Caenorhabditis elegans: one gene and its partner. The protein of the gene in region 2 interacts with the protein of the main gene of each other region in a biochemical or structural test. Each region holds a gene or a part of one and is shown on either strand. Other genes may lie near its edges.

Region 1 (10,923 bases), 8.9 Mb from region 2:
CATGGCCGAGGGGCCGACAAGTTTCAGCGGCCATTTATCTTGCTTTGTTTTCCGCCTGTTTTCTTTTGTTTTTCATCGATTTTTTTCGTTTTTTCTTAATAAAACTGATAAATAAATATTTTTTGCAGATGCTAAAACAATTTCCAAGTAAAAAAATCATGTATTCAGTGGGCAAGCAGCGGTGAAAGTGGGCAATGCAATATGATGGATTACGGGAATACAAAACCTAAACTTTTTCTGAAACATGATACATATGCTGCTTAGATGCTGAAGCTACCTGATTTTCATATCGAGACCGCTGAAAAAGTTTTGAGGTTTCCAAAATTCAACTTTTTTGGTAAAAAAGTAGAGATTTTCGCACAAAAAGTTGAATTTTGAAAACCTCAAAACTTTTTCAGCGGTCTCGTTATGAAAATCAGGTAATTTCAGCATTTAAGCAACATATGTATCCTGTTTCAGAAAAAGTTTGGGTTTAGTATTCCCGTAATCCATCATATTGCATTGACCACTTTCACCGCTGCTTGCCCACTGAATACATAATTTTTTCACTTGGAAATTCTTTTAGCATCTGCAAAAAATATTTATTTATCAGTTTTAATAAGAAAAAACGGGAAAAAGCTGTGAAAAACAAAAGAAAACAGGCGGAAAACAAAGCAAGATAAATGGCCGCTGAAACTTGTCGGCCCCTCGGCCATGGCCTAGAAACCACTTTTCCTCATCCCTCGTGAGGAAAAAGTTGCAGTGAATACGTCACCAACGGCTTAAAAAAATCACCGTTTCGCAAAAATCCCCGCCGCGGGAATCATTCTGCCAAGGCGAGCCAAAATAATCTCACAATTCGGCTCACAGCTATGATTTAAAAACCGTCCGATATTTCCACGTAGGCGCGGGTCTACGAACGTTTTCACGGGTTTTCCACCGAAAAACTCCTTCAACGTAAGCGTATAATTATCGTCTCCTCGGAATTCTCGACATCTCCGTTCAACTTCTTGCTCGCCAATACATTCCCCAGCGTATTCGCACACAAATTCGCCGGCGGCTATCTGCTCGCCGGCTCGAACTCCGAATCCTTTTGCCATCTCACAAGTGCTGAAAATTTCCAGCTTTTTCTGTGGTCCACATTGCACAACTCGATTCCTACATGAAGTTGGGAGCAGTATGCAGGCACATTGATCGGAGCACTCGATTAGAAGCTCCGATGATTTATTGATTTTTCCATCGACAGTGTAATTATCGATTTTATTGATTAGACACGAGCAACCGGCGGCTGAAGAGCACTCAGCCTCGCAGTTACATCCTTCGAATACGTCATTCCAGTCGGTTTCAGAGATTCCTGGCCCGGGAATTGTGCTATCAATTTTCTCATAATTCATTATCTGAAATTTGAAATTTTTGTAAGTTTTTAGGCGGAAAAACAAAAAACTATCAGAAAATTGTCGAAATTCGAGAGAAAATCCATTTTTCAACATTTTTCCACGAAAAAAATCCGGATTTTTTCGCATTTTTAGGCGGAATCTCAGACGAAATTCGGAAAATTGTAATTTTTTTTGCCTCAAAAATTCGAATTTCTAGGCGAAATCTGCGAAAAAATGTTGGTTTTTTTTTTCACAAAAACCGTTTTTAACTAAAAAATTCACAAGAATTTATAGCAATTTCAAAGAAAAATCGAGAAAAATACGCCGAGCTTTCAAATTTTTTTTGTGATTTTTTCATACAAAATCGGATTTTTTTCTTGCAATTGAATGGAAATCTTGAAGAAAATTGTTCAAAACTCTGAAAAAAAAACTATAAATTATCTGAATTTCTAAAAAATTAAGAATTTTAGTGAAAAAATTCGGAATTTATCACATTTTTAGGCGGAATCTGTAACAAAATTATCGAAATTCGGGAGAAAATCCAGTTTTTAACATTTTTCTACTGAAATCCAAAAAAAAAAATCAAATTTTTCACATTTCTAGGCGGGATCTCAGACGAAATTCGGAAAATTATATTTTTTGCCCCAAAAATTCGAATTTCTAGGCGAAATCTGCGAGAAAATGGTTCAAATTTGGGGAAAATCTTTCAGCTTTAAGAGGAAACGGCGGGTTTTCAATAGAAATCTGAGAAAAAATCGGCAAAATTCGATAATGTGGCTTTAAAATCTAAATTTTCTGAAATTTTATTTTAAAAAACTGCACTAAACCGTTAAAAATCGTTTATAATTTAATTTTTCAGTTAATTTTCCCGTTTTTAAGTGAAAAATAGCTTGAAAAAGGTTTAAATTCGACAGAAAACAGAGTTTCTCCAAAAAAAAAACACCGCGTAAATCGACACAAGTTTAAAGGCGCAGTATGGAGAGTGAAAGGGTCTCGCAACGATGGCCCGGGGTATTTGAATTTTTCATAAAATAAAAGTTTTTTTCGTGAAAAAATGGCAAATTTGATCAAAATTTGTTGTTTTTTCGTGAAAAACAGTCGAAGTTCAGAGAAACTTTCCATTTTCCAGTTGAAAATAGAAAAAATTGACCGTTTTTTAGCCTGAAAAACCAGAATTTATTGCAATTTCAGAGAAAATTCGAAAAAAAAAGGCCGAAAATTCACCAAAATACGTCGAAAAATCGGATTTTTTTGCAATTTGCTGGAAATCTTCAAGTAAATTTTCAAAACTTTGAAAAAAACTCCAAAATTATGACATTTTTTTCTTAAAAAGTACTCTCAGAGGCTCTATAGCACCTCATTTTCCAACAAAAATTCGAAAAAATCATAATTAAAACGGTTTATTAATCATCCGGCAGGTTGAAAGGGAAAAGTGAACAAAATGGAATGGACACGAATTGGGGTTCGGTGGGCGGAAAAGGCAACGAAAATTGTGCATGATATCATTATAAATATAATTTGGAAAAAAAAACGATTTTTTTCTATGGTAAAGCTGTAATGTATTAGAGGAAAACTGGTGGAGGGGCAAGCGAATCAATAAATTTCAAGGTTAAAAATTTAGAAAAAAAAAACGATTTTATTCGCTGACGGCGGTGAATCTGAGGTATGTATGAGGCACCGAGCCAATTTGGCCGTCGAGTTCCGCTTTGTACATTCCGTTGGACATTTTCTGAGTTACAAGCACTGTTTGCCCCTTTTTCACACGCAATTGGGTCGGATCGTAGGCGTTTGGGACACGATCGAACGTCACTTTGGCTTTTGCTGGCAGACGGGGCTGAAATATTGAATTTTTTTTTCGGTTTAGGAGATGTTTTTCATGATAAAAATCGTTAATAATTTCATTTTTCAGTTAATTTTGCAGATTTTAGGTGGAAAATAACTTGAAAACGGCCTGAAAATAGAGTTTCTCCGAAAAAAAACACCGCGTAAATCGACACAAGTTTAAAGGCGCAGTAGGGTTGGTGGAAGGGTCTCGCAGCGATGAGCCGGATTTTTAAATTTTTTGAGAAAAAAAAAAAGTTTTTTTAAGTAAAAAGGTCAAAATTGATCGAAATTATTCGTTTTTTTTTGACAAAAACAGCCGAAATTCACTGAAATTTGACATTTTCCAACTAGAATTAATAAAAAATCATTGAATATTCATTAGAAAGATGGAAATTGACTGAAATTTCGCATTTTCCAATAGAAAAATCTAAAAATTGGTGTTTTCCGTGAAAAAATGTCAAAGTTGCCTGAAATGCTTCGTTTATTCTTGGAATATGGTCGAAATATTAGGAAATTTTCGATTTTTCCACTAGAAATGTTAAAAATTGACTGAAATTTCCATTTTTTTTTCAGTGAAAATTTCAAAATATGACCGAATTTTCACTAAAAACGGTAAAAATTGAGCAAATTTTTAAAGAGAAATTTCAGATCCAACTTTCCCATTAAAATTCTGTAATTTACAAGGAAAATCGTCTCGAAATTCGAAATTTTCCCATCGAAAAATGTCAAAAATTGACTAAAAAACGCAATTTTTCAGCAAAAAATCTGAAATTTGTGGATTTTTCCGGCAATTTTCCACACCTGGAGCTCAATATTATCACTGCTCGTGCTGGCGCTCGAAAATCGTTCGGCGCCACCTCCGCTGCTTCCGATCGACGATTGACTGGCGCCTTTTGAGGTTCTGTCATTGTGAAATTCCATCTGAATTTGTACATAGTTTGCCGGCACTAATCCAGTGGTTCCCAACGCGTTTCTCGCCTCCCACCAATCCTGGTTCGTTTTTGCTGGAAAAAAAAAATTATTAAAAATCTAGTATTTTCGAGGAAAATTACCGAAAAAAACTTGGAAAATGCACAAAATCTTGAGAAAAACGGGAGAAAATCAAAAAACACGGTTTTTTTTTCAAATTTTATGGTTTTTACAGGTAAAATTTCGTATTTCCATTATAAAATTCGTTTATAATTTTATTTTTCAGATAATTTTGCGGTTTTAAGTGAAAAATTGCCTTAAAAACAGTTTAAATTCGTCCGAAAATAGAGTTTCTCCAAAAAAAAACACCGCGTAAATCGACACAAGTTTAAAGGCGCAGTGGGGTGGGTGGACAGGGTCTCACAACGATGAGTCCGGGTTTTTGAATTTTTTCATAAAATAAAAGTTTTTTTCGTGAAAAAATGGCAAAATTGATCGAATTTTGTTGTTTTTTCGTGAAAAACAGTCGAAATTCGCAGAAACTTTCCATTTTCCAGTTGAAAATAGTAAAAATGACTGAAATTTCTTGTTTTCATTAGGAAAATAGTCATAATGCACTGAATTTCGCATTTTTCTACTAAACCGGGTTAAAATTAGGCGAATTTTGTAGAAAATCGCATTTTTCCATTGAAAAACGTAAATTTTTAACATTTTTGCGGCTTTTTGGATTAAAAAAATGTGGAAATTTACCAAAAGTTTCTGGTTTTCTTGAAAAACAGTCAAAATTTACCATTTTCCAATAAAAACAGGAGAAAATGGGTGGAAATTTACTGAAAATTGCTCATTTTCTCACTAACATGGTAACAATCGGAAATTTAAATTTGCCCATCGAAAACGTCAAAAATTAACTAAAAATCTCGATTTTTCGGCGATTTTAATTGAGAAATGGCTTGAGAAAGTGGTAAAATTTGGCAAAACTTGGTTTTTAATAGTTTTTTTTTTGCATTTGGCTTCAATTTCCCCGAATTTTCAGATTTTTTAATCGAAAAAGTGCTCTTAAAGCTCACAAAGAATCTCGAGCCGCTAAATCAGTGGATTTTCGGGGATTTCACGAGAAAACTCATTTCTCGTAGTTTAAATGGCATTTTCCGAACCTTTGGTCTTTCTTCTCTAAGAAGTGCTCGAGATTCCAGAAATTGATTTTTTTTCCAGAAAAAAACGTTATAATTGTGAGGAAATCGACATTTTTTCTTGCATTTGGCACTATTTTCTCCGTATTTTTAGATTATTTAAAGGTGGACTACGCTCAGTGGGGAAATTGCTTTAAAACACGCCTATGGGGTCACAATGACAGAATATCATGATTAAAAAATTCAAAATTTTTTTTTATGATTTTAAATGATTTTTTGAAAATTGAAAAAATCTCAGTTTTCACCTAATTCCTATTTGAATTTCCGCCAATTGAACTCGTTCGTTGGAGCGCGCTTGCATTATTTTCATTAATTAATTCTATTTCTTCTCATTATTGGACTGATTTTCTTCATTTTTTGTGGTTTTTCATCGGAAAATCGAAGAAAACAACAAGAAAAATGCAAAATGATTTTTTAAAAGTAACTGAAAATGCGTAAAACTGTAAAATATACTAATTTCAGGCTTGTCGTTGTCAGAACTCAAGAAATCACAGTTTTAGAAAATTTCAGTTAATTTTTAACAAACAATTTGCATTTTTCTTGTTTATTTCTCTTCCATTTTCCGATGAAAAACTCCAAAAAATGAAGAAAATCAGTCCAATAATGAGAAGAAATAAAATTTTGAAAATTAATGAAAATAATGCAAGCGCGCTCCATTGAAAAAATCCAATTGGCGGAAATTCAAAAATAATTAGGTGAAAACTGAGATTTTTTTTCAATTTTCAAAAAATCATATAAAATCAGGGAAATTTTTTTGAATTTTTTAATCATGATATTCTGTCATTGTGGCCCCATAGGCGTGTTTTAAAGCAATTTCCCCACTGGGTCCGCCTTTAAAAAATCTAAAAATTCGGAGAAAATAGTGCCAAATGCAAGAAAAAATGTCGATTTCCTCACAATTATAACGTTTTTTCTGGAAAAAAAATCAATTTCTGGAATCTCGAGCACTTCTTAGAGAAGAAAGAACAAAGGTTCGGAAAATGCCATTTAAACTACTAGAAATGTCAATTTTCTCGTGAAATCCCCGAAAAATCCACTGATTTAGCGGCTCGAGATTCTTTGTGAGCTTTAAGAGCACTTTTTCGATTAAAAAATCTGAAAATTCGGGGAAATTGAAGCCAAATGCAAAAAAAAAACTATTAAAAACCAAGTTTTGCCAAATTTTACCACTTTCTCAAGCCATTTCTCAATTAAAATCGCCGAAAAATTGAGATTTTTAGTTAATTTTTGACGTTTTCGATGGGCAAATTTAAATTTCAATAAAGCAAGTTCCCCACAGGGTTTAGTCCACCTTTAATCAAAAAAGTGCTGCTTTAAAGCTCACAAAGAATCTCGAGCCGCTCTCCTTGCTCAAACGGAAGATCTGTCTCTCGTTCCCCTGTGAATTTGAATGTTCCGACGACAACCTCAATGATAGGCTTCTTGTAGGCGGCCAGCAGGCTTGCCTCAGTCAAAACTCGCATTTTAAAATGATTCAACAACGCCGGAATGTCTGGAAACGACTGATTCGCGATTTTCACGCCAGCTGCAGCAGTTCCATCTTCTTTCGGTTCTCCTCTTTCAATCAAATAATGACAAACGGCATTTCCCTCGTCGGCTTCACGTACTGTCAGTGAATATTCACCGGGGCGTGAGCTATCCCGCATTAGGAAGGTGCCGATCGATACTTGTGGCTCGCCGAGCAACTTGTGAGCCTCTTCACGGCTCATTCCTGGGAAGTAGAATGAACGCCACTCGAATGGATCGAACCCGTTTGTCGTCATTTCTGAAAATGCGGGAAATTGTTTAGAAACGTGGAATTTTTAGGCGCGCAAAATTGGTCAAAGTTGGGAAAATTTTCTGGAAAACGTAACCCAAATAGACGGAAAATCATCAAAAATCACGAGAAATTCCTAAAAATCCAGAAAAAAAAGACGAAAAATCAAGAAAAATTATATAAAAGGGGAAAGTTTTTTCGGCTGAAAAATGCTTAAAATCTTGTTTTTGAGAGCGAAAATTTATGAAAATCGGCCAAAAATCACCATCTTTGAGAAGAAAACGCAAAAATCTTCAAAAAAAAAATCAAGAATTTCGTGGGAAAAAATATTTTAAAATGAATAAAAATATGATTTTCAACCTAAACATTGCTGAAAATGTGAAAAAACGGGTGAAAATTCGATTTTTTAAAGGAAAACGAGTCAATATAGGCAGAAAATTGGATGAAAAAGTTGGAAATTGAATAATAATTAGCGTGATTTTCCAAGAAAATCAAGGAATTTCCATTTAAAAAATTCAGGAAATGAACAAAAATGGATGTTTTTTTGGCTGAAAAAATGCTGAAAATCAGTTAAAAATCGGCCAAAACTTGCGTGGAAAAATCAAAAAATCAGGAATTTCGTTGGAAAAGTACCTTAAAATGGCAAAAAATAAGATTTTAAAGAAAGAAATTGCTGAAAATCGTGGTTTTGGCACAGAAAATCTAGTAATTCTAGTGAAAATTTCTGAAAAATAAATGAACATTGGAGAAAATGGTACTTTTAGGAAGAAAAATCGATTGGACACAGTGAAAATTTTCAAATTTTGGTAGGAAATGGCGAGTTTTAGGGAAAAAGAGGGCAAAATAGTTGAGTTTTTCGGCTAAATTATGGGAAAAATGAAGAATTTTTTTGAAAAACTGTGTTAAAAAATTGGAAAACATGGCGAAATCGAGAATTTCGAGCAGAATAAGCAGGTTTTTAGGCTAAAGTTCGGTTTTTAGTAGAAGAAAATTGAAAAATACGCTTAAAACCTTTATTTTCGAATATATTTCATACTAAATTTACCGATTTCTTGTTTTTATACGCATTGAAACACCAATTATTCGTAAAAATGAGGAAATTGATGAGCAATTTTCCCAGGCAATGACTCATAAGCTTCTTGTCGACTGGAGCCAAAGTTTACACATTTTAAATACGTATTTTACGATGCGCAACCGCAAAAAATCAAGAAAATCTCCGAAAACTGGTGAGAAATTGCAAACAAACGACTTTTTTTGCACGCAAAAATAAATTGTCAGCTGTTGCGCTTGTCCGAGAGGAGTACACGATGAGGTGTGCGGGGGACTTGCAACACGCGACCCCGCCCACTTTTCCGCGCCGCATTGCAATTTGAATTCGGAATTTTGCGCGAAAAGTTGCGTTTTGCGGGAAGTTTTCCGGGTTTTTTACAGTTTTTTGCTATAATTTTCAAGTTTAAAGGTTAAAATATCAAAAATCACTCAAAATTTTCCGACTTTTTCAGCAGCTTTCCATCCTCCGAGATGAGTGTCTCGTTTATGGAGTTGGGCTCGGCCGACTCGGCAGAAGCGGCGGCGAACAAGGTGGCACACCACGTCGAGCAGATGATGGAGACATCGGATTTCTTCGATCGCCTCACACAACACGGCACGACGCCCGTCTCCGGTCTCGGCGAGAAGTTTTATGTGAAGGGAGCGCCGGAGTTTGTGAGCACACGGCGAATCCCAATACCCGGAGAGCTTCAAATGCAAATGAGCAGTGAGAGAGCATTGTTTCCGATGGGGGGGTTTTTCAGCGAAAAATTGGTGAATTTTCAGATATTCACAGCGAGTTTAGCATGGGATTCTTCACACAAATCAGCCGAGTTTGGGTCGTCATTGATAACAATCTCTATATGTGGAATTACGAGACAAAGTAAGCGGAAAAGCCGAAAAATACCGAAAAAAAATCGAATTTTCAGCGACGATTTGGCGTTTTTCGACTCATCAGACGCTGCAATTCTGAAGGTGTCGCTGGTGAACATCAAGCCAGGCGTTTTTGAGCCGGAAATTCAATATGGGCTCGTTGTCGGCACAATTTCCGATATATGTCTTTATCCGGTCTTTGATTTCGTGGAAAATGGCGCCAGTAGCATTTCTATCGACTCAAAACGATGCTTCAAGGTTCGAAATTCGAGTGAAAATGGAGAAAAAAGAAGGAAGAATTACCAAGAAAACCCAAGTTTTTGAATCAAAAATCGCAAAAGTTTGGAGATTTTGAGTCTTCAAAACACGGGAAAATCGATGTTCCGTGCGATTTTTACTTAAAAATCGACAAAAAAAATTTAAACAACGGGATTTTTCGTCTATTTCTAGCTCAAATTTGCTGATAACGCTTTTCTGTTTTTTTTTCTACTCGAAAACTTGAAAATCCGAGTTTCTGACTAATTTTTTGAGTCTTCAAAGCAATTTTACATCAAAAATGCTCATTTCAAACCAAAAATTGGGGATTTCGATAATCTTCAATTTTTATTCGTTTTTTTTAGAACAATTTGTCGTTGAAAACGCTCATTTCAAGCCGAATTTTCGAAAATATGTGTTGTTTTATGCGAAAATCTCCAATTTTTCATTTATTTTCCGATAAAAAAAGCTCATTTTAAGCCTAAATTTTCCCAAAAATTGAGCTTTTCAACAATTTCTCTAGAAAATCGCAAATTTCCATTAAAAAGCTCAATTTTTTTTGCGAGAATTTTTCAAAAATGAGCTAAAATTTCGAAAATAACAGTAATTTTCGACGAGAAACTTCAATATAACACAAAAACGGTATTTTCAAGCCAAATTTTTTTCTAAAAAATTTAAAATTTTGAAAATAAACACAGTTTTTTGCGGAAATCTTCAATTTTTCATTAATTTTTCTGAAAAAAAAGCTCATTTTAAGCCAAAATTTTCCTTAAAAATCTGAAATTTCCAGCACTTTACTATAATTCCAGTACATAAAAACGCTCCTTTTAAGTCTATTTTTTTTCTAAAATTGAGCTCAAATTTTATTTTTTCACATAATTTCCAGAAAAATCTTCCATTTTCAGCAATTTCTCTAGAAAATCGTCAAATTTTTATGTTGTATCTGGCAAATCCCCATTAAAAAGCTCAATTTTAAGCCAAAATTGTTCTGAAATGAGCGAAAATTTTGAAAATATCACTAGTTTTAGACGATACTCTTTATTTTTTTTAAATATATTTTCTGAAAACGAAACCCATTTCAAGCCAAAATTATCATAAAAATCCCCAAATCGTCAATTTTTATATGAATTTCATCGCAATTTTACATTGGAAAACACTCCAAAAATTGAGCTTTTTCAGCAATTTCTCTAGAAAATCCCCAATTTTTTTTTTCAGATAGCCCTTGACGGAGCAACAGTGAATGATATTTCGTATACTTCAAATGGTCGAGTATTCTATACAGCCGACGATCAACTCTTCGAATTCGTCTACGAGAAACAAAACGGATGGTTTGGCTCCACAAATCACAAGTGTCGAGGTGTAAATCAAACTGCATCAATTCTCGGAACACTGATCTCTCTACCATTCTTCGGCTCTTCAAAAGAGCCCCTCGATCAGATTACAATCGATAAATCCCGAAATATCATGTATTTGCTCGGCCGAGCCGGCACCGTCAGTGTCTGGGATCTCGGAGCGGATGGAGCAGCTTGTGCCAAATTTTTGAGTGTTCCCATCTCGAAAATTGCACATGAAGCTCATATTCTGACGCAATTCGGTCACGATGAGACATCTTTTCACAGTATTACATCGATTAAGGCGTTGGAAGCTTCACAATCGGCTGCGCTTAACCTAGTTGCAACTACTGCCAAAGGAGTTCGATTGTACTTTTCAGTGTCGACGGGCCCGCAGTCTA
Region 2 (9,218 bases):
ACAAATGAAACTACTGTTACCATATATTCTCTCCACATCTGTAATTTAATTTTTTTTTAATTATAAACTTATTTTTTGGCACTTAAAAAAGCCGATTGAAACCGATGTGAAAACGCGCTCCACGGACAATTGAAAACGCTCCGCCCCCCGATCTATGGGTCTCATTAGGTAATTGGCAAGAAGACTGTTAATCCAAATACTTTCAGTTAATTTTGCCGATTTCTCCATTTTCAAGCATTTTTCGGCTTGAAGGTTTGAATGTACACCTCTGCGCCAAATACCTAACGAGACCCATGGATCGGGGGCGGAGCGTTTCTGATTGGCAGTGGAGCGCCTTTTCATGTTGATCTACAGCGGGACATTTTTCCCCGTATTACATAATTTGTGAATTCTTTACCTCAACGCAGAATTTGTCATTGGAGAAGAATGTTTGAACTGCCGACATGACGAATCGTAATGATTTGTGGATCACTCTGAAATTCGATTTTTTTTCCGTGTTCAATATAGAAATGAAAGCATTTTCTTATTTTTCTCTATCCCTCCATTATTAGACTGGGATAAAGCGGAACAGAGCAAAGGGAAAAGTGAGGAAAAATGAAAAAAAAAAAGATTGTTTGCACTGTGAACACCCAGCAATGACTTGACAATACAATTCCTCAAATTTGACCTTCAGTTTATGTTCTTGCTTACGATATTCCAAATTTCAAATATTTTTTTGAATGAATACTGATGAATTATATTAACCAGACATGACATTTTGCGCCAAAAGTACGGTACCCGGTCTCGACACGACAAATGTTTAAAAATTCCAAGAGGTCTCCGCCTTTAAAAGAGTACATACAAAACATTTGAATGTGAAATTCCGATTTCGAGAAATTTTTTTAAATAACTCAAAAAATACATGAAAAATCAAATTTTCAATATCACCACTCGAGTGTGACGCATTAAATACAAATTTTTTGTATGTTAAAAAATTGTTTAGACTTGTTTTTGTATAAAAATCAGGAAATTTCGGCAACATTTTTTTTGAACAATTTTTTTCTCAACTTTTGTCTCAATTCGCGATTTTTTATTGAAAATAGAAAAAATTTGAAAAATTTATGGAAAAATGTTCTATAAATTTATCAAAAATATGTTGACTTTCATGTGAAAAATAATATTTATTTTAATAGAAAGTCATCGAAAATTATTGAAAAATTGGATTTTTCTGAAAATGAAGAAACCGACCCTTGGTTTAAAACTACAGTACTTTTCAGACAATTTTGGCGCGAAAAAACCGAAAATTTATTTAAACTCACTTATTCTGCAACATTATCATATCTTTCCAAGTAGATGGGAAGGCATTTCGATTGAGTAAATCTCGAATCATTTGAACCATTTCCATGAGAAAATCACGTTTATCAATATCCGATGATCGCTCTTCCACATATTCACTAAACATTTGGGCGGACATTTTGTCTAATAATGCCAATATTACAGAGAAAAAGTGACCACGAGCATCATCATCAGTGTGCTTGTCGTCGTGGATTACTCGAATCATTGCTTGAACAAGTGGACGATAAACCATTAAAATGAATGATGTCAATTCTCTCTCAGCGTTACCTTCACCACTTTTCTGTAAAATATGAAATACTTGTCATGTACGAATGATAATCTAGTACCGCGTCAGCGAATAGTCTCTCCAGAATAGCAGCAATAATACTGGCACACTCAGCGGCACGATCTGCAAATTCTCCTTTTTCGGTTGCCATATTGTCGATTTGTATTATGTCAAGAGCGATTTGAAGACATGGAATCAGAAGTTGTTCTCGGCAGATTGAAAGCTGAACATTTATTTAATTCGGATATTTTGTAATTTTTGCATGAAGACAAATTATTGGGAACTATCTAAAATAATGTATCTAAAGATATTTCCTTACCGAAAAGAACCGAGTTTCCACAATCTGTGCAATAAAATTGAGCCGCTCACGAGTAACAATATTTGATCCAAAATTATTCATCAAATCAACAATAAATCCACAAAGATTCTCTGGAGATACCGAATCGCTTTCATTGAGCAAATCAATTATCGTCGGAATACTTTTAAGAGCTGTATTCTGAACAGTCATTTTTGCTTTCTTTTCTGACATGAGAGCTACGAGTGATTTCATAAATTCTCGAAGATATTGCTTATAAGTCTTTTCGAAATCGTCGAACTCTTCGAATCTGAAAACAAAAAAAAATGAATTTTGACAGTGAACTGGTGAATCAATCGAACTGTGACCTTAAACCGGTTTTTCATGATATTGCTTATTTTTTCAGTTTTGGTTTGCGAAGTTTGGAAATCAAAAAGATGAAATTTCTGATTTTTTAATTTGGAAAACGTACTTTATTCCACATTTCTTCGACACGACAACTAATTTGAAGAGAGGACCCATAACTTTGAATGCATTTCTCGCTTTCTCATTTGAATCTTCTGAATCCGAGATGACATAGTGATTGAGACACTTTAGAATTTTTCTGGAAACAAAGGAATTTGAATTATACGTGTAATCTATGAAAACTTACAGTGCCGCTGAAGTAAATGAAAATCGTTTCAGATACACTTCGAATATTTTTGCAGCCTGTGGGTAGTGTCGTGGCTCCTCTGAAATATTAAAATAAATAACTTTATCCAAAAAGAAATATTTGAAAAAAAAATTTATGGTCAGCTGCACCGCTAGTTTTTTTTTTGATAAAAAAATTTTATCTTAAGAAAAATTTCTCGGAAAAAATATGGCAAGAATTTCAAAATTTCATTCAAACATTTTTGGCGGAGAATTCAAATGTTCTCTGGCAATTTTTCGACGGATAATTCAATTTTGTCAGGAAACATTTCAGCGAAAAATTGTAATTTGCTTAACAAATATTTTCGCCGGAACTTTTCTCTAACTGAACAAAATGTCAGAAAGCTGTACACTTACCACAAATTCTTAAAACCGCCACGATAACATCAAAAACGACTTTCTCCGAAGTCTCACGATCATGCCAAATTTCAAAGAGTGCATCCAATAAATGTGAGAAGAATCGAATCATTTCGTGTTCCGTATCTCCAATTGGTTGAGCAAGAGCCACCAATGAAGATGTAAGGTTGACACAATTTACACGCCATCTCAACACATTCAACAAATGCTCATTTTGAGTTAACATTGAAGAACATGAATGAGTGGATATCATCACAAAACTTTTATCACTCAAACTAAAACCCTGTGAATGAGGTTTCGCGCTTCCAATTGATTCTTTGAGTGTTCTTCTGGTATCAGGTAAGTTCATATAATGTACATTTGATTCATCAAAGTGAGATCCTGGATTATCAATTTTGTAGACAGCCAAGTCATGTTCACCATCACAGAGTAGAGCACTACTTCGAATGAGTTGAACATGTGCAATTGCAAATGGTCCTTTTTCTGGTTTTGGTTTGTCATATGCTTTCTTCGAATAAAATAAGATCCGAAGGTATACATCATGAGAAGCACATGAGGGAAGAGCAATTTTTATTGGTTCCGTCCACATTGGTTTGTCAGTATGATAAACTACAATACTCTTGTAGACAGTGCTAAGTTGCGAACCAGTAACCGAAATAGTCTCAAAAACATTTTCCATAACATGTCCATTTGATTCCACGACATGAAGACGTGCCTCAATGTTACGATCAGATGATTTTCCAGATAATTCAGCCTGCATTAAAGTAATATACATCTCATTTCGACTATCTTCAATTGAAACTGCTGTTCTATCAGCTCTTCGTAGAATCGCCGCTGGACATCTACTGAACAAATGTGGGTGTCTTGCCTTGATTTGAGAAACATTTCCAGGAACTAATTGGGTACTTATCAATAGTTTTGTTTCCATATCGTTGCTTAAATTCTTCGGTATACGATTTGTAGCGTGATATGCTTTTAGAGATAATGGAAGTTCTGGTTCTCGATTCAGGAAAATTACACGTTCTTTTGCTTCGTGGCCAACACCAGCAAGAAAGATGCTTGACATTTCCATGATGTCCGAGGCGTACGCTGAAAGTAGCAGCAATAAATTTTTGTATTCCAACCAGGGTTGCGCGGCAATTACTAACCGGTAATTCTACAAAATCAGGCAGTGGGCATGTTCTTCCAATATTTTTCATTAAAATTTAGTGATATTGATAGGCGAAAATAAAAATAAAAAAACCAATTTTCGCCAAAAATTGGCGAAAATTACTGGGAGAACATGCTACACTAGCTCATTTTGTGATTTAAACTCACATTGCCTACAATAAAATGTCTTTGGTATAGTTGCTTCGTGATGTCCATGCTTTCTCATCGTAGCATTAGAAGATTCAATCGGTGATACATGAACAACTCGAGTTACCATCAAATACTTTTTCTGAATATCTTCTTTTGCAAAATCAGTGAACAGTGCTTTCAAATTTAAATCCGTGTGTTTTCCACTACCGCTGTTCCAGAGAAATGTATAACTATCTCTGAAAATAATGCAACTATTGTCTTTTTCAGAAAAATTGTGAGTTACGTGGTGAACATTTTCTTGTCCAGATCATATAGTGATATGCTTATTTCACAGGAATATTTACAATGGAGTTCGACAGATTTAATGGAGAGCAGCAATGAGAAACTATCGTTGATTGTAACATTTTCAGGTTTCTCCCGCTGAAAATTTGAAAAATATATTGCTTGTAAGAGAAAAAATAGTATACCATCAATGATCCGACCCTTCCTTTCGAAGAAATGTGTGCTTCATATGTTCTAAGAAGTGAAAGTGATTCAACGTCAAGCGGAACACCCTCTTCATTGCGAATCACTACATCTTGGCCAAGAATTGTATTTCCACGGTCTACCAGTTTTGAAACGCGCAATCGGAGTTTGCTCAACTCTTCAATTGGAATCCCACCTAAAAGCATAATTATTTTACTATATTCCTGATAAAGAAACAAAATTACCACTTTCGATTTTAGTTTTTATTATTAGTAGTTCATTAAAACTATCCATCAAGTCTTCGAATGATCCAATCCTTGTCGTTTCCACCATCAATTCTTTAATTTTGGTCCACCATTCATTAATAACTCTGGAAATTTCATCCACAACGAGATATCCGTCACTTGTCGATACGAACATGGACTTTTGAACGATTTGTACATAGGCAAGTGGAAAAATCCCACATTTTCCATTTTTCTCGTCAAATTTTCGACCATATCCCCACTCTCCGTGCTGCCCGTAAACACATATTCGATCGCCAATAAAAAGTTCTAATCGTGGAGCATCACAAGATGGAAGCGGATCCTCAAATGTGTATTGAACTGAAAAATAAGATATTTAAATAGTTGCGAAGTGAAAACAAACCGATTGCATAATAGAAACCCGTCGTTGCCATTACGAACTCATTTATCTGAAGATTTAAGCTTGAATTTTCAATTAAAACGGACAATTTAATTTAAAACTACGTTATATTAATTTAAAATATCAAATATAAATATACAAATCAAAACGGAGACAGTTTCTGTGAGAAACAAACGTAAATATCACGAGAACTGTTTATTTCTGATGAGTAACTGTTTATCCGAGAGGAGTCCACAAACCGTGGCCGAGGATTTATGCTTGTGGAACCTAGGCCATTGTTGCCGGGAGAATGAATTTGGAAGTCAATTGGCAGAATAACCGTATACGTTTTGGATTCCATTGAATTTTTAACAGTTTTAAATTTAATATTTTAATAGTTAATGTATAACAAAACCGATAAAATGCATGTTTTGTCATAAATATAATGTGAATATCTATATTTTATGGTAACTTCGTGTTATATTTTTAAATTTTTTTCTATAGAATCAGAAAAAAAATTCCAGAAAACCAATGGAAATTGATGATCTAGAATCTACATCAAATTCAGTGCATAAATCACCACCCAAAAAACGGAGACGTGTGAAGAAGAAGAAAAGAAATGAGGAAGATGAAGAGTGTAAATTGGTTTTTATAATAAAAATATTTTTTCTTCACTTTGATTTACAGACGAAGAGAACAAAAATATGGCCACTCAAATAAATCAAAAATTTGGTTCAAAGTATAAATCAAATAGAAAAGATGAGACTCCGATGTTTGAAGTGAGAAATGGAAAATCAGTTATCAAAAATTCGGGGAATCACGAAGCAACTGTCAATCGAACTTTGGATTTTCACATGACAAAGCTTTTTCAGGTACGATTAAAATGATAAATCTAATTTTTATTATTAATTTTCAGTGGGAAGAGCAGTCAGACGCCATTGAATCTTCCTATGTGTGTGCATTGTGCCACGAAAATGGAGAGAAACGAGAACTTTTTGGACCATATTATGCAACACATAATCCAATTAAATATTGGCCATCTTTCCTGGCTAAGAAACCTGTAACAACCCATCCCATTCTCTAAAATCTAAAAATTAATTAACTTTTCAGACTGCCAAAAAACCTACAAAAATCGAATTATGGTTCCATGGCTCATGTGTTTTATGGGCTCCAAATGTGCATCTTCACGGCAATCAGCTAACAAATCTGGATAATCAAATCGATATTTTCTGGTCTCAAACGTGCATAGTTTGCCGCAAAACTGGTGCCGCAATTTCTGTACAAAATAAGAAAAACACGTTCATTCATTACCCATGTGCCAAAAACAAAGGTACAGACATTCCAGACAAAATACCTCCCACTCTTATCAGTTTTTTACAGGCTATAAACTCGACGAGCACGCTCTCTTGTGCAATTCGTGAAAAATCGATTCTCATTTCTCATCAAACAAGTTTTGCTTTTCAATTATGTTTTTTTTTCATTTTTTACATTCTCATGTCCCATGTTTTACCAATTGCACACTGAAACAACGAAATAAAAGATTTCAGTTTTATAATACAAATTTAATTTTATTGAAACTCCACATTTTCGCAACACTTGAATAACGATTCTTGTTATTATTGGGATGCAGAAAATTTCCTCTTTTTGAAATCTAGGTGATGACGCTCCGCCCCCGAGTCACGGGTCTCGTCAGGAATTTGGCATAAATTTCAACCATCTTTTGTCTATTTTGTTATTTTTAGTTTTCTGAAAATTTCAAGTCTTAAATTTTGCCATAAAATCATTAAAAAGACGAGAAAGCTGAAAAAATTTGAAAACAATCGAATTTACGGATTTAACTCCAAATACCACGAGACCCATGGTTCGGGGGCGGAGCGTTTTCAATTAACCAAGGAGCGAGTTTTCACGTCGATTTCAAAAAGTCATTTTTCTGCTTCCCTATAATAGGCTAAAAATGTTGGCGAACATTTACCTATCAGATGCGCTCGCGCGTCAATGAAAAGTGAATAACAATTCAAACGCAATTTTTGAAATTTCACCCCGAAAAAGTGACACGTCATTGAATTTTTTCTAAAAGAAGGAAATTAGCATGAGCTTAAGCTATCTCTTTCACTCTCGACCCCCGCTTTCATTTACTTTCTCTTTCAGACCTCAGAGACGCAGAAAAGCGCTCTTGAGAGTAAGCCGTTGAGCAACGTCATCTGAAAAAATAGAATAAAGGGAAAAGCTGGTCTCCACAGCGCGCGACATTTCTCTAACCCCTCTTTCCCCCCTCATTTTCTTCATTCAAACATCCAGTGAGCTCCATATCGATCGAAGGCGTGCTCTTTTTCAGACACAGACAACTAGAGAGTCCACGGCTTCTTCTTCTTCTTCAAGTGAGGGGCTCCGTCACTTTTCTCTCATTCTAACATGCTGCACGCGATGCGGCCGGTGCTTTTGGTTGCGGCTCTTCTAGCCGTTACCGCCCACGCCTTCCTCGGATTCGGAAGCGGATCCACACACAAGGACGATGCCGAATGGGGACACTATCACAATCAAGCACAACTTGAAGCAAAGTTGGGAGAAATCAATGAAAAGTGCCCAGAGGTGAGTGGAAATTGGGTTCTAAACTTGAATTTTTGAGTGAATGATGTTTTCGAGCCGTGCTAGGAAATCTGAAATTTTTTTTTTAATTTTCTCGTTTTCTTCGGAGAGAAGCCTTTTTTCTACGAAACTTCTTTTGAAACTATTTCCAACTAGAATATTAAAAAAGAACAAAAAAAATCCAGAAACGGATTCCCATAGCCACGAGATTTCCGTTCGCTGTTTCTAGGAGAATTTGAATTTATTATTTTGGTTGTTCATTCCTACAAAACATTTGGGATTAAGTATTTCATGAGTAGCTGTTTAAAGATCAATTTATCAAAATGACTCAACAACTAGTTCCTTCGGTTTATCCATTTTTTTAATTAAAGAAAATGAAAGTATGTGCCAGAAATTAGCCAAATTTTCATTTTCGTTTTTGACTTGGTAATTGGAATTTTATAAAATGACGTCTTCTTAAAAAAGGAACCAAACGAACATAGCCCCATATTAGGTAGACTTTCCAAATTATCGCGAAATGCGTTCTCATAACTTGGCAGAAATTACGCAACAGAATGTTGTGAAGTCATAGTTTCTTAATAGTTTTAAAACTTAATGAGTGTTTTTTTTGGAAAAAATAAACATTTTCAAAAAGCTTCCAGAAATTGAAGTTACATTGATTTCGTCAGAAGTCCAAAAGTGATATGAACTATGTTTAATATTCTCCAATTAGTCTGAATTCATAAAAAATCCCATTTAGAACATGGTTTTAATCTAAACTTCCGAATAAAATTCTGACGTAGATGGGCACAAAGTTAACTACGTTCTCACGTTTAAGTGTATCAGCGTCATCAAAGATGAATCTTGGTAATTGAATTCCAAGCTTTTCGATCAAAAGAACACTTTCCAACTGTTCTAGAAATTGTTTACCAACGCGTTCATCATCTGATTTAGATGAAAGAAGGTTTTTGAGAAAAGATTTTAAAGACCTTTTAGATATTTATCGTCTATTTTTAGGCCATACTGTAACTCTTCAGTTAGCCCACTTCATTCATTGAATTGACGTGGCTTTCAGACAAATCCCCTACCTCTTCTATTTTTTCTAGTACAAAATACTAAACGATAATAAAATCCCTTATCAACCCTGTCTAATGCGTCATGAATTCAATTTTGCTAAAAATTAGCAGACAACGATTTTTTTGTCTGCATCGTCTTGTTTTTCTCTAAAAAAATTGTAACTGAAAATGAAATCAGGTGACGTGGCAGCTGGCTGAATAATCATGCGTGTTTCGATTTTTCATGTGTGCTCACTCTCATCATCAATGA

Evidence for each region.
Region 1: the proteins of ced-5 (region 2) and ced-2 form a complex in vitro, tested with the Caenorhabditis elegans proteins (one study listed by BioGRID).

What each region holds. Positions count from the first base shown.
Region 1 is NC_003282.8:1,593,438-1,604,360, reverse strand, and holds ced-2 (Cell death abnormality protein 2), read right to left. Parts: upstream 7,044-10,923; 5' UTR 7,042-7,043; coding exon 6,603-7,041; intron 4,184-6,602; coding exon 3,981-4,183; intron 3,190-3,980; coding exon 2,992-3,189; 3' UTR 2,740-2,991; downstream 1-2,739. Other genes in the region: putative histone-lysine N-methyltransferase set-23, read right to left, coding at 775-1,373; npp-8 (Nucleoporin_N domain-containing protein), read left to right, coding at 8,556-8,790, 8,850-8,946, 8,993-9,194, 10,407-10,923. UniProt on the Caenorhabditis elegans protein: Required for cell migration and engulfment of cell corpses but not for programmed cell death/apoptosis. Has a role in the migration of the 2 gonadal distal tip cells (DTCs).
Region 2 is NC_003282.8:10,480,289-10,489,506, reverse strand, and holds the start of ced-5 (Dedicator of cytokinesis protein 1), read right to left. Parts: upstream 5,398-9,218; 5' UTR 5,383-5,397; coding exon 5,352-5,382; intron 5,309-5,351; coding exon 4,952-5,308; intron 4,903-4,951; coding exon 4,709-4,902; intron 4,662-4,708; coding exon 4,525-4,661; intron 4,478-4,524; coding exon 4,260-4,477; intron 4,032-4,259; coding exon 2,943-4,031; intron 2,627-2,942; coding exon 2,548-2,626; intron 2,500-2,547; coding exon 2,368-2,499; intron 2,206-2,367; coding exon 1,920-2,205; intron 1,824-1,919; coding exon 1,662-1,823; intron 1,616-1,661; coding exon 1,299-1,615; intron 474-1,298; coding exon 398-473; intron 39-397; coding exon 1-38. Other genes in the region: F01D4.5 (PHD-type domain-containing protein), read left to right, coding at 5,859-5,964, 6,015-6,199, 6,244-6,387, 6,438-6,657, 6,698-6,714; egl-21 (Carboxypeptidase E), read left to right, coding at 7,740-7,916.